Linked DNA regions of Saccharomyces cerevisiae S288C. The gene in region 3 interacts genetically with the main gene of each other region. Each region holds a gene or a part of one and is shown on either strand. Other genes may lie near its edges.

Region 1 (5,531 bases), on a different chromosome or scaffold from region 3:
TCTAAAAATATTCTCATAATATTCTAAAAATATCTAGCCTAGGTAATTGCAATTATTTTGAGTCTGGTTATTTTGAGTTGACCATGTTCACTTCCTTTTCAGTCATCAAGACAACGTGTTTACCATCTAATGGGGAATCAAACAGATAAAACTAGAAACTGAGCAAAAATACTTTGATTTGCTAATGTCGCCAGTAGTACGATAATACTATAAAGATATGCTGTTGAAGCTGATATTTAAAGAATGAGAATCTCTAAGGGATCATAGTCTAGAATGGTATTCTGCAAAACAAATTTTAAATGGTGAAAACTTTTCCTCACTATGTCCAATTGATGCTTCTTAGGATGACGTTAGAATTTTATTTTAGTGCAGGCATTACCTTGCTAAGTTCATTCATTAAAGTACTAATATACCTCTTACTGGCATGCATTTACCTAAGTGGTCTCCGTTAGCCGTGGTCTTTTCGAACGCAACAACTTTCAAGTTAAGTAAAAATGATTTATTCTATAAAATATGTATGTAGTGGGAAAGACTCGACAGACCTGCTTGCCAAGTTCTCTTTCTAAGCAATTGAGTTGGCCAGTCCCCCTGAAAATGCTAATGCCCATGTGCGACTCATTCCGTTATCCAAATATGTGGATGAATCAAAAGTTGAATCACTGAAAAATGCATACGAATCTACTGGGTCGAAGAGTGCTTGATTCAGCTTCAATATGCCTGTCCAGCCGCTTTCTATCGATTCAATAATTGGCTCGATTTTAGTCTGCCATTCTTCTTCGACGAAAGTCTCAGAACGAATATTAGAAGAAACTGGTGTGATAGGTAGCATATGAATACCGTGGATATATTCTGTGTTTGTTCCAAAATAAGTAGTATAATCGATAATATTATCGAATAAAATACCACTCACTTTATTTCCTATGATTTCTTCAGGCTCAACTGTGTTGTCATTTTGATAATAGAAATAGTCGTTCATTGCATCCTTCATTATACTAATCATCAAGTCACCCCTCAATTCCATTGACTGGTCACCGATAGTGGCCCCCCATAACTTCATAGCATAGGCAAAATTGTAATCTTCACTACTACTTTCTTCGTTCTTACCGTTACCGTTTTCATAAAGTCCAGCTGCCCATGAATGACCGTTGAACCAATCAAACATTCTCGATTGTGCAAAGTATTCATCTTTTTCAGATGGATTTGCGACATCTCTTACCAATGAATTGACCCAATCTTTATTGTCGGCAGCCCAAGTACCATTCAGTTTAGAGTCAACATAGCCGATGACAGCAGCTGCATGAATAATGTAACCATAATGGAAATGATGGTCATTGTAATAAGTGTTACCAAAATCGTATTGCGTGCTGGTGGAACCCCAATCTCCTGAACTGACCAAACCGTTGAACTTTGTGTCGTAAATTAGTGGATACGTCTGTTCATTTTGTAGCAGAATATCAAAGGCCGATTTGATGTTTTCCAAAGTACTCTTAGTACTGGCTTCATCTTGGATGATTTCGGAGACCGTTAATAGAATGTAAGAATACTTATCGATAACTTTACCCAAATAATATGTGTTTAACCCGCTTATACTTTCGGAAATACTAACCTGTAATTCGGAATTGGCAACTTCAGCTAATAATTGCAATTGTTCTTTAGAATACTCTAAAAGGTTTGAGCCAAGTTGAGAAGACCATGGTAACCAAGATATTTGTCTGTTTAGAGATGTGGAAAATTGTAGGCTCGTTGTTAGATAACCGTTCATTACACCCTTAGTTGTAGAAGCGAGTTGAATGCCGGTATAGTAGTCTTGCATTATATCACTAAATGAAGATTCATGATGGGGCAAGGCAAAAATCATTGTGCTACCTGATGCCGACTCACCTTGGGTGGTATAAGAAAATTCATAGGTAGCTGTAGAACCGTCAGAGACACCCTGCAGCTTGAAATTAGTAACGTACATACCTGCGGCTTGATCATAAAAGACCTCGTAATCAGTTTCAGAAGGTGCGACGGCCAATTGAATGATAAGACCATCAACACTAGCGCTTGCTTTAATTTCATATTCTGAGCTCACCTCCAATGAAAAGTCCGTTGAGGTTAAATCGTCTGGTCCTATCACGTAACATAACCAAGTGACTCCATTCAAAAGGGTGATACGATATTTGAGAATACCCTGAGCTAAATTGCTTGATGATTCAGAAACAATGGTATTGAATCCGACGCTGGAACCAATCTTGGCATTTAAAGATCCATGATATATACCAGTTGCAAATCCCATACCTTGAACCAAAGGTATTTCCAGGTAGTTCGAAGAATCATTGGATTCTGATAGCACTACCCTTGTTGAAGACAAGGTCATTTCATCAACTTGCATAGTCATACTTGAATCAAAATTCGAAGCTGAGAAAACAACATGAGCAATTCCCAAAGGATTGACCAAATATTCTGCATTACCGGAACTGTCATAACCACCGTAGCTATATTGATCTACTGTTGTATGTTGAACAGCAAAACCATATGAACTCGAGGTGTACTTCCACAATGAATAAGGATACACAAAGGCAGGTGATTCCTGACTACCAACAATCAAATTTGTATAAAACTTGTTTGTTTGAATGGGACCATCGTTTGACACCCCATCAGCCAATGACATAGGATTTGGTGATCTGTCAAAAACAGTTGGTGGTTCATCTGTCGAAACAGCATTGAAAAGATTGACAATGGTCGTTGTTGAAGAGTTCTCCGTTGTGGTAGCGGTGCTACTGGTCGAGGTTGACAGAGAAGAGGAGGAAGTTTTTGTTTGTCTCGAAGATGAGGACGAAGAGATGGTAGCTTGCATTGAAGAAGATACATAAATGGTATCTAATGTCGAAGAAACCGGAGAGGAAGAAGAATCTACTGTTGAAAATAGTGATGACAAAAGAATGTTTCCTGTTGAACTCGATGGATAAACTGGACTAACAGTCGATGATAGTGATGGTGATGGTGAAGAACCGTTTTCTGTAATGTTTGAAGGGTAAATTGGACTAGTTGTCGAATATAGTGATACAGATGGAGAAAGAGTGATTTGTGTCCTATTAGATGGGTAAGCAGGGCTTGCTGTTGTAGATGCGAGCGTCTGGACTAAATCCTGGGTTGAGTTGGATGGATAGAACAAAGTCGAGGAAGCAGGAGTTGAAGCAATGAAGGAATCTTCGCCGGTAGCTGTAGCTGCATTTGTCCTTACTGAAATAGTATATATCGTTTTATTCGAGGTCAATGAAGAAGGAATAATTTTTGTTTCTTGGGAAGAATAGGAAGGCATTTGAGTTACCAGTGGATCGATTGTACCTTTTGAAACAGAAGTCAATAAAGTTCCATTTAATTGTGTCCCCGAAATAGATAAAGATGAAGAAAATAAAGTCGAAGTCGAAGTCGAAGCAGTTTGAGATAATAATGTGGTGACTTTACGCATTGTTGATGCACTTGGCATGACTGAGGCGACGCCGGAAACCGAACTCAAATTGTGTACTGAACTTTTGCTTTTCGAATTATCATTTGCGTAAATATTTGAAACAGTGACAGGATCATTATTGGTTTGTGCGCTTATTTTTTGAGATACTTGGCTTGCGTAGTTTGATAACGACAATGACAGTTGAACTGCTGTTCTTGTATTAGAATCACTGTCTTGTGAATTAATTGGAGATGCGCTCACTCTATTTTTTGGCGAAACTGAGAGAGGGCTATGAGAAGCTGCAGATACTCTTGTTACAACCACCGATTGTGCAACATAAGGCTCACCTACTGTCAAAGTAGCGTAAGATAAAGTTTCAATTAAATCAGTTTCCAATATTTCGTCTGCATTATTCGATATGAAACTTATATATGAACATTCGACGAAACTTAATAGAAAAAGAAGTGTCAGATATAATTGCATACTAGCTGTTTTTTTGTTTTCTTTTCTGTATGCAGACCGTTACTATGGTTATCTACTTGTTGAAACAAGCACAAGAAACATACTTGATATTCATTTTTGAAACAAATTGCACCAAGTATTTATATGTAGTCCTTTACCCTCGCTTGTAGTCTTCGTATGGTGTATATGCTTTGCTACTCTTTTCATACCCAGCTCTTATTTTTAACTTTTTGGGTTCAGCTTTATGATTAACTAGTTTTTCCTTGGTAACCAAATTGGGAGATTTCGTGCCTTTTCTGCTGGCTTTCATAACAAAATATAGCCGAAAAGAGCTTAGCGCAGCTGAACTCGGTAACAAGGTTCAGGTAAAAAGGGGAGAAAAAAAGAAAAGAAAGCCAGATCTTTCAAAAATATGCCAGCAAATACCAAATTGGTCATAAAATAGCTAGCACTCCGCTATCGAGCAAGTTCTCTTGGCAAGCAGGCTTATTCTATTCTTTTGCTGAAGGAAAGGCCAGTTCTATGCTTATAACCTTAAGTAGGAAACATATGCGCAGCTTACAGCGCATAAAATTGATGGCAACCCATTTAGTGGTACTATTCCTGCGTTATTACTAGTATGGTCGCTTTAAAGAGTGGTAAGATTTCACATTTTCAAATCTAAAAAGCAAAGTTTATCACTTGAAATGTACCTCTCTGTGGGCTTTCACTACCTTGTACATTTTCTTAGCAGTTCCGTACATTTTTTTAAACAATGAAAATTCAAAGTTCTATGTATAGAGATTATTTAGGTTTTTAGTACTTAAAGTATTTTGAGAATACCTTGGCAAACGCAGAACAATCGTAAAAGAGATTGCTACTGCGCACTGTTTCCTTGCTTTATCACTTTCAGTTCTGCAAGAACTAAGGTGTTTATCAGTAATGATACTGTAATATCAATAGCGATAAAAACTTCGTCAGTGAAACCATTCTTTTTAACAGCCATCTATCAAATAAAAGAGTTTTTAACTTGAACTGGGATATCAATTTCAGCAGATCCAACACCTTTATCAAAATGAAGTTTTACGCGGAGGAAATATGACCTCGAGCATAAACAACTTTCAAAACTTGGCACTATGGTAGCTTTAAAATCATCATTATATTTTATATTCAATAACAGTGTTCTCTTATACTCAGTTGAACTGACCTGATTCCATTCATTTGATTTCCGATGTGAAAGTACCGAATGGTGATAGTTTGATGGGGAGGTTTTTTTATTCCTAGAAGTTCGAGGAATTATGCTGGATATAGGAGAAGAAGCAACAGGCACACTTTTCTCTCCAACCAACTTCGTTTTCAACGCATTTTTCATGACAACAACATTGGCTTCCATATTGGCTAAAACCTGTACGTCCTTAATTATACTCGAAGGCATTAAATCAGAAAAATCGAGCGATCTATTACGCAGGCTAGCTCTTGCGTCATCGGCAAGAAGTAAGTTTATTTTTGTTTGATTTTTAGTGAACTCATCGCGATATGCTTCAATGTTTTCCAAAATTTCCTTAAATATTTTCTTAATTTCATTGTATTTGTGCTTCTTTAAAAGTAAATCACTGTGGAACCTCACTGGTTTGCAATCTTTTGTGTTCGTTGTTAA
Region 2 (6,629 bases), on a different chromosome or scaffold from region 3:
TCCCAATATAAACAGTCAATGGAAGTAACCAGTTGTCAGAACGGATTATCAGCTTTTCATGGGATGTTACTTATCCTATATATTATATAAAATATGGATCATATTAATTGGTGGAAGCGCCGAACCTCGGATCTAAATTAATTGCTCAGGCGTCTATACGTTTGGGTGGTTAAGCTAAGGGAGGCGAAGTTATATGTCATGTTGCTCATTCTGTTCGTTTTGTTATAAGGTTGTTTCATATGAACGTTTTAGGATGATGTATTGTCATACTGACGTGTACCACTCTGAGAAACAACAAAATAACGGTTTACTGCTTCTATGGCCAAGTTGGTAAGGCGCCACACTAGTAATGTGGAGATCATCGGTTCAAATCCGATTGGAAGCATTTTTTGTCGTGCACTTTTGCTATATAAATATTTTTTGAGCGTCAGCGACAAGTATCTTTTTTTTTGTTGTACAAAGGACTCTTTCAATTGTTTAGTCAGTCATTGGTGACTTGTAAATAATTAGATTAATTAAAATTGCTATTAAGTAGAAAGTAGAAATATATTTAAAAATGGTATTAGTTCTGTACAGGCTTCTTCCCTCTGTGTGGAATTACTTTGGTGATAATTTTAAAGACCTTTGGCCATATTCTTGCCACGTAAGTTAAGTAGTAACCAGCAAACATCGCAAAGAAATTGAAACCAACAAAAGCCCATTCAATACCAAAGTTCCTCCAAACGTGGTCGTAACTCATATTCTCATTTTTCAGGAAGTCATCGCCAACAGTGTACGTACAATAAGCGCAGACTGTGAAAGTGTTCTTATTATGTAGATAGCCACCGTATTCTTCTATGAAAGCTTCCATAAATTGGCCACAAGATTGCCCCGTCAGAGGTTGACCAGGAACCATCTCCGACATGTCACACTTGATTTCCCAGTTATGCAATAGAATACTAACAAAAGTTTCCACAAAATATGTGTATGGCGAAACCCTGTACATGAATTTCCAAAAAGTTGGAAACAAAGAGTATGGTTGCATAACACCACAGAATGATGCTGTAAAACTGTAAATAAACGCAACAAAAACAGCAGCAGTTTGTAGATTAGGAGCAGTATAGATCAGCCATAAACCAAGAGTCGAGTAATAAGCAGCGAAAAGCATATAGTTTAAAAAGAAAACACCGGCACTCCAGCCAGCGTTGTTAAATCCACAAGAGAAAAAGGCACAGACGAAAAATAGTGTGGAACTTGTAAGTGCCAGTGGTAGTTCAATAATTGACTGTGACAAAAGAAGAACAGTCCAGTGATAAGTGTTAGATCTCGCCTCCCTAGCAACATAAACTTCCTTTGTTTTCAAGGCTTTGTCCTGAATTTGATTGATCAATGGAGATGAAACACAAAGAGCCATGAAACAGAAGAAGATACTATCCTGCAAACCGATAATATTATGCTTAATGTGCCAAAATGAGAAACCGATAAACAAACCAGCGCCACCATTCAAACAGTACTTGGCCATGACATAAGTCATGTCTCTTTTCGTACAAATATATTGTCTTCTTGTAATAAGAGCTAATTGCTGTAAGTAGGAAGGCTGCTTCCACAATGAGGTTGTGTAATCAACACCAGACGCACGAGCATCATCTTCTAACCTAGCTGTTTCTTTTTTAACTAGTTTCTTTTCTACAGAAGATTCCCATAATGCACTCCAATCTATGGCTTCTTTGTTCAAAGTAAGAGCTTCCTCCGCTGTATCTTTCCCTGCCGAGGAGTTACTGTTACCTACTGCATCAATGACGAAATCTGCAGGGTTATCATGTTCTTTATCGTAAACGAGCGTGTTGTCATGAGACATGAAATAGCCGCAGGCATCGTCCATTGGTCCAAAGAAGACACATTCACCACCCCTTTTCAATAAGAAAATATTGTCAAAATGGCTGATGACACTTTTACTAGGCTGATGAATGGTACAAAAAATAGCCTGACCCTGTAAAGAAAGTTGTTTTAAAAATTTGACGATTGTTAGTGCAGCCTCAGCGTCCAGCCCAGAGGTTGGTTCGTCTAGGAATAATAAAAGTGAAGGCTTAGTAACAAGTTCAACACCGATAGATAAAAGCTTCCTTTGAGTCGGGTTTAAATCAGCGACTAAAATGTCAGATGGCAATTTCAGTAAATTTGAAACAGTGTCTAAGTATGCCCTGTCACCATCACCTCTCAAAAGACATGATATTTCCAGAGATTCTTTCACAGACAGCAAATCTAGATGCAAATCCTGTTGTTGAACAAAACCAATACTTCTCTTAAACGCGTCCTCATCTGTCAATGGGTGGCCATCGATCAAAATTTCGCCGCTAACAACACCTGTCTCAACTCTTTGTGATAAGACATTCAGCAAAGTAGTTTTACCTGCACCGGACTCACCCATTAAGGCGGTCAAACCAGAACTGATGAAACCGGATGCATTATTAATCAGTTTCTTTGTACCAACTGTGTAGTTGATATTTTTCCAAGAGATGATATGCTTTTGAGTCTCTACTGTTTCCGTGATAGGTTGCTCGTTATAATCGTTTAGAGCCATTTCCTTATTTGAGGGTGATATCTGATATGGAACAGCCGACAGGCTAGACGAGGAAGACGAAACGGAGTGCGACTTTGGGATACCAACATACTTACTGTCATTTCTTGCAGAGGACCTGGTACCTCTCTTTTTATTCAAAAATGGTAGCCATCTTGTCAAACGACTATTGTTGCGCTCTATTTCATCCTTATTGAAATAAGGCTTAATATATTGAGATGCAAACAGAGTACAGGCAATAAAGAATACTAGGAAACCAATGATAATACCAAAGTTTCTCCACACATGATGATACGTGTAGGATAAACCTTGCTTCAAGTAATCACGGCCTCTAACGTAATCATTACCCAGAGTAGCACCTTGCCAAGCACAGGCCTTATGGGAAAATGGAACATCGTTGTAAGTAGGACCTCTTGGAACAATTGTCTCACTACAATCCAGCTTCAAATTGTAAAGCTCATTAGACAGTATTGCCTCCATAGCGTACATTGCAGGATTTAGATAAGCAATCCATACAAACCAAGGATGCATATTTTTCAGGTAGATGACGTAAGAAGCATACATTGCTATAGCTAGTAGCAGAATACCTGCAAATAAATTTGCAACTGAAATGGTTGGAGCAACTAGTGTCGTCAAAGCGAATAAGGACACCATACAGAAATTGTAAAAGGAAAGGAACAGGAGGAAAATGAAAAATCTTGCAGCCTTGTATTGCAGGTGAGCAAGGAAGTATAGGATGATACTGAATACAATTACCAAACAAAGTTTAAAGCAGTAGTCGAACACTGTTGTTGAAAGGGTTTCAACCCAGTTAGTATAGAAGTGAAGTTGGGATTGCTTTTTAACGACGGGTTGTCTTTGGAAGGCAATAGGCATATCTGCAAGAGAAAGAAAAGTGAAGAAAAGAATGGAGAAAAAGGTTAAAGAACCTCTTGAGTATGAACCAATGGTAGTCAACGGAATTTCGTAAAACAGTGAACCAATGACCAAAGATTGAATAACGACAGAAATAAATTGTGCCGTCATATAAGCTTTATCACCCAAACTTCGTTGAAAAGCTCTTTTTGTGCAAAATAATAATTGTTTCTTCAACGGAATATTAAAAATAGGTGAGACATCAGAGGGATCCACTTCCTTAATGGAGTCATCAATTGAAGACCCCTGGATTTGCTGCTTTATATTTCTATAGTACGAAGAATGTTTCCATTGATCATATAAATCGAAATCAGAATTATAAGTATACTTAGTGACTTCCCCTGTTGCGGTTTTGAGAACGCTAGCAGATGATGAATTTGATAAATTCCCCAAATTTTTATTTTTGAACTGAAAATTTAAGATAGAGGTCAGATATTCAATAATACAATCGTTAGGATCTTTCTCAATACCTAAAGTGTCACGAAAATAAGTCAAACACTCATCGACCGTACCATAGAAAAGCTGGTAGGAATCGGATAGCATAAGAATCTTGTCAAACTTATCAACAATTTTATCACTTGCCTGGGAAATTCTGACTAAGTTTACAGAACGAGTAGCTTTTGCCATTTTTCTAAGAATTTCCAAAAAATCGAGAGCTGTGGCGGAATCTAAACCTTTAGTAGAATTATCCCATAGATAAACGGAACCATTAGCAATAAACGTTTCAATAATAGAAATACGTTTACGCTCACCACCAGAAACACCACGGAAAAAATCATTTCCTACAATAGTTTTCAATACATGAGACAGGCCGAATTCTCTTAGAAGTTCATTTCTTATTTGATCGCGCTCACCTTTTGGAATATCGAACTTACAACTCAAGGCAAAATCAATTGTTTGTTCTACCGTTAGAAATGGGAAATGCACATCTTGTTCATTATTGTAAATGATTTGGTGGGGACATTTTTCGGAAAAGCTCTTAAACTCATTATTTTTAAATTTAATCGAGCCTGGAGGAGAGTATGACAAACTAGTTTTACCATGAAACAAAGTCTTAAATAGAGTGGATGTGGGATAACCCAAAACCAAAACCATTTCACCAGCCTCTGCTTGGAAGGTTATGTCATTTAGTTGATTTGCCGGATTCGGCATGCTGTCCTCAGCGTCATAACTCTTTTTTGACTCGCCTTGAGCATCGGCGCCAAATTGAATGTTCGCGCCATTGAAAGTGAGTGACCCGTCAGCAACGGGAGTGAAGTACTTTGAAATTGACATATTAATTCCAGAAAAAGCAGACTGCAAGGACTGAGAGATGAATTACAGCAGTCTTTACTATTCAGCTAATGCCTTCTCAAGTATGTTTTTTTTTTTTTCAATATGGATTTTTATGTCCAATAACTATTCAATAACTGCTTCACAGAAACGGTACTAAGGCTAGGGAAAACTTTACTTTTAGAACTGTTCAGTGCCTTAGAAATAAGGCAAAGGCACCGTCTTTATATTCGAGTTGGAAAATAAGAGTAGAAAGGACACACATTTGTGTTTTGCTCTGTCACATCGTACAGGAGGTAAGCTGCTGTGGCTGTAGTGACACTGAAAGGGACGCTGCTGATGAGCTCGTTTACAGTTCATCTAGCCTGTATATGGAGTGATCTTCAGGCACTCTCTTTGAAACTACCGTAGTTAATCGAAAAAAGGACCTGGAACGACAGCGCGTAAAAAGAAACGAGGAGCAGCAGTGCCTATAAGAGAATTCTCACTTTTCTATTGTTTAGTAAAAAGGTGTGCAATCCCCTTTGCCTACGAAGGCACATGACAATCACGTAAGCAAACGACGCTCTCTATTGTAAACCGTTCGTATGGCTTACTTTGCTCCATAAAGAGGAGGAAAGCTACAAATAAAATAACCTGTATGTACATATTACTCTATATGATTTAAGCTAATGACAAGGGGATATATGCAGTCTAATATTAGAACACGGTTTTTGCCCCTATGTTTCTTTGGATGTACTACTGCACCTGTATGCATCTGGCCTTTCGTTTATTGAGGGCAACTATGAGGGCAGAAGCTTTTGTGAAAGTTATATAAAGAAGAACTATCACAGAGGAAGGGAGGGACAATATCTATAGCGACAACGATTACGCAACGTTTCCTCCATATTGTAGTGATAAGTCAATGAACAGTGAATCCTAATTGATATGAAGTTATTGTTACTACAGTATGAATAAAGTTATGTTGAATAACATTGCTTTCTTTTTGATCGCTTCCTGAAATTGGTGCAATGGGAGCGAATTCCAAGTAACTCGTATAATTTTTTTTTTTCATAGGCCTGCGTGCTCTTCAACGTCAGGCATTAAAAAAAAAGAAACTGAAAACAAGTCAAAACAAAATTCGACCAACAACTACGAATCAAATTAAAACAAAACTTAGTCAACAACTGTAGTGCGTTGGCTGCTAATAATACGTTCTTGTAAGTATAAAAAGCAGACCTTCACCGCTTAATTGCTTTCTAATCATTTCTCACTTCTCCTTAATTAATTAATAAATTTGAAAACTGGTATCCTGTGCCAAAACATTTTCAATCAGTAGGTAAATAACTGTCCTTTGGTGAGGAAAAGTTAACTGCGCGTAACTATTTATCAACTATCCCTATATTTGTAACGTCAAATTACAAAATCGTATTTTAGTAGTCTTGCAAATGGTTTTCTGTTCCCATTATAGCAAAGACACCGGGTGACCATACTTTTTTGTAAACAAGAAACTTTTATTTTTAAAATCAAGTTCTCTGACTGTCAACACTAATGTATGCAGACACGACAAACAATTCATGTTTTGCGTACAAATAGTTCCTACTAAGTTCGGCATACATAATGTAGGCGTAATCTCTAAAAGTAAAGGAGAACTTGAACGATACTAAAATAATGTAATGTTGGAAAAAAATAAGGTATCAAATCTAACCATTTCACAAGGTACTCAAAAAAGATCCTATGTGAGTTAACAAGAAACTTAAAACAATCCATTACCTGCCTAGTATAATTTTTTTAGACCAGAATATGACTCCATAAAACGTGAAGCAGCAGCTAGAAAAACGACGCCTCGGCGGAGTTTGCGTTTAACTCTCATGTGCGGCCAAACAGGTGCGTAAGAGCTGTGACT
Region 3 (2,865 bases):
CTCATGGAGAACAGAAATCTCCAGTAGAACAAAAGGGTAAAAGTCCCCTTGATTTTGATTTTCAGTGTGAATACAAACCATGAAAGTGTGGCCTATCGATCCTTTAGTCCCTCGGAATTTGAGGCTAGAGGTGCCAGAAAAGTTACCACAGGGATAACTGGCTTGTGGCAGTCAAGCGTTCATAGCGACATTGCTTTTTGATTCTTCGATGTCGGCTCTTCCTATCATACCGAAGCAGAATTCGGTAAGCGTTGGATTGTTCACCCACTAATAGGGAACGTGAGCTGGGTTTAGACCGTCGTGAGACAGGTTAGTTTTACCCTACTGATGAATGTTACCGCAATAGTAATTGAACTTAGTACGAGAGGAACAGTTCATTCGGATAATTGGTTTTTGCGGCTGTCTGATCAGGCATTGCCGCGAAGCTACCATCCGCTGGATTATGGCTGAACGCCTCTAAGTCAGAATCCATGCTAGAACGCGGTGATTTCTTTGCTCCACACAATATAGATGGATACGAATAAGGCGTCCTTGTGGCGTCGCTGAACCATAGCAGGCTAGCAACGGTGCTCTTGGCGGAAAGGCCTTGGGTGCTTGCCGGCGGATAGCAATGTCATTTTGAGTGGGGATAAATCATTTGTATACGACTTGGATGTACAACGGGGTATTGTAAGCAGTAGAGTAGCCTTGTTGTTACGATCTGCTGAGATTAAGCCTTTGTTGTCTGATTTGTTGGCACGAGCCGGCGGGAGCGGGCTCATACTAACGAAGACGAACCAAAAGATACACAGTAGCGGGACGAGAGTCTCGCAGCTGTCTGGCGGGCGGCGAAGTGCGGGTAACGCAGTAGCGGCGCTGTGGGCGCTGCTCGAGCGTTCTGGCAGAGAGGCGGTCCGGGTAAGCGTGTGCTGCATCGTGGCTCTCAGGTCTGTTTCGCTGGTCTGTGAGCGCTGCGTGTGCGTGTGCGTGTGCTAAGACGGGGTCCGGGTAACGTGCTTGCGCGCGGAAAAAAAAAAAAGATTGCAGCACCTGAGTTTCGCGTATGGTCACCCACTACACTACTCGGTCAGGCTCTTACCAGCTTAACTACAGTTGATCGGACGGGAAACGGTGCTTTCTGGTAGATATGGCCGCAACCGAAATAGTTAGGTGTGGCAGCCGTACATATGGAAGCCGGGCGATGGCTCCGCCACGTGCAAAGTGCAGGAGCTTTGGAAAGAGCGTGCATATAGTGATGAAAACAGAGAGCACGGTTGCGAACGGAGGGTCTCACAATGTCTCAAAGGATAAATCTCTTGGTTTGCGGGCCGCATACAAGATATGATTGTAGTTTTTTCAATGGCTCTACTGTCCCACTGCTGTACAACAGAAAATGAGAGATCAGAGAAATAGTATTCCGGAAGCCAGTGGTGTTTACTTATTAGTTTTTTGACGCCACTGCGCGAGTTGCTGCCTAGCTGTTCCTTGGCCAACGCATATTGGAACTTCATTCGACTGATATGCTTACTCAGAGGTCCATTACTTCAAGAATTGTCTCACCTATCGGGCTTGGCGTTTGTACAAGAAGAAACTTTCATCACCTTTGTTTCGCCACCAAATGAAAAAAAAAACTTGCATGGCTTAGGTGGTTCTTTGTCAGAAATATCTTCTAAGGATCAAGAGTCTTACGTGATTCTAATCCCTTGGCAAGTCAGATCTCAAATATGCTCACTCGCAGATGAGTAGCAATGAATGCGACCAAGTGACTAGTGACTGGTGACGACATGAGCCAAGCTGGAACCAGCAGCTTTCACGTCGGCTTATAGCTCTCTATGGGGCAATCAACCACTCATAGTGACTGAAGATCTTTTTAATATAATTACATTGCTAAAAACGTCATACCGCCTTGTGAGCACGATAAACAGCATATGCATTGAGCCTTGTTATTCTTCGGAACTGGGGATAGTAAAATGCGACCCGCTTAGGATGATCAAGCTATCTTTGGGACGGAGTTTTGTCATGGGAGTGGTCATCCTACTGGTGATGCTTCAACATTTGATTTACTAAATTTTGAAATCGGCCGCAGAATAAAACTATTATGTCCAAACAATTGATGGTCGAACCAACGTTAAGGGTTTCAAGTATTGAATTGAACTTTTATGAGTTCTATAATTTCGTTGCGCAAATTCAACTAAACCACCAATATCCCCCCTACAACGCTACACTTTATACCGATAGAGGAATAACGCATAGAGCCTTCGTAGAATTCTTCAACTCGTACGTGATGGGGATTCTAAACCTATCGTCATGTCGCTGTACAAGGCTGCTGCCTGCTTTCAAATTCCCAATTTTACCATGTCCGTTTCGCTGAGCCGAATCGTCACACAAGGTAATTAGTTCTGGGTATCGCTTCAGTATAGCACTGGTTTTTTCCTTGTAAAACCACAGTCTAACAATTAAATGAAGCTTTTCGAAGAAATTAGACCATGTTAGACTGAAAGCAAAGACTCCGGCCCGTTCTGAGGTAAGTTCAATGAAATTGGACAGTTTCTTTTCAAGGTTAGGTTTTGTGTTCGAAAAAAATAGATTACCGCACCTCCTTTCCAAACCCCATGAGTTTCCATTAAGGAAGAGCAACGTCAATAATACCACCTTTTGCAGATGTGATTCAACTCAAGATGCTGTAATCTTTCCCTTCTGACCCTAGATCACCTCATGATATCCTTTTGAGGCAATTAAAGCTGCAGTGTAAACTGTTGAATATCTTTTTGAAACCAAAAAAAAGGACGTTCCACACTTGGCTGCTTTCTTGATAAGCGAGATCTTTACTTGGAGATCTCGCTTAGTCCTCCGAAGGGTAAACCCCGTCTCTTATCTTTAAAAAAA

What was found.
Region 1: mutations in YLR162W (region 3) and DSE4 together harm fitness more than expected from each alone (negative genetic interaction), as found in Saccharomyces cerevisiae (one large-scale study listed by BioGRID).
Region 2: mutations in YLR162W (region 3) and AUS1 together harm fitness more than expected from each alone (negative genetic interaction), as found in Saccharomyces cerevisiae (one large-scale study listed by BioGRID).

What each region holds. Positions count from the first base shown.
Region 1 is NC_001146.8:755,184-760,714, forward strand, and holds DSE4 (endo-1,3(4)-beta-glucanase), read right to left. Parts: upstream 3,917-5,531; coding exon 563-3,916; downstream 1-562. Other genes in the region: YNR068C (uncharacterized protein), read right to left, coding at 4,884-5,531.
Region 2 is NC_001147.6:347,797-354,425, reverse strand, and holds AUS1 (ATP-binding cassette sterol transporter AUS1), read right to left. Parts: upstream 4,748-6,629; coding exon 563-4,747; downstream 1-562. UniProt on the Saccharomyces cerevisiae protein: Transporter involved in the uptake of sterol.
Region 3 is NC_001144.5:487,622-490,486, reverse strand, and holds YLR162W (uncharacterized protein), read right to left. Parts: upstream 915-2,865; coding exon 558-914; downstream 1-557. Other genes in the region: RRT15 (Rrt15p), read right to left, coding at 1-81; YLR161W (uncharacterized protein), read right to left, coding at 1,146-1,490. UniProt on the Saccharomyces cerevisiae protein: Overexpression confers resistance to the antimicrobial peptide MiAMP1.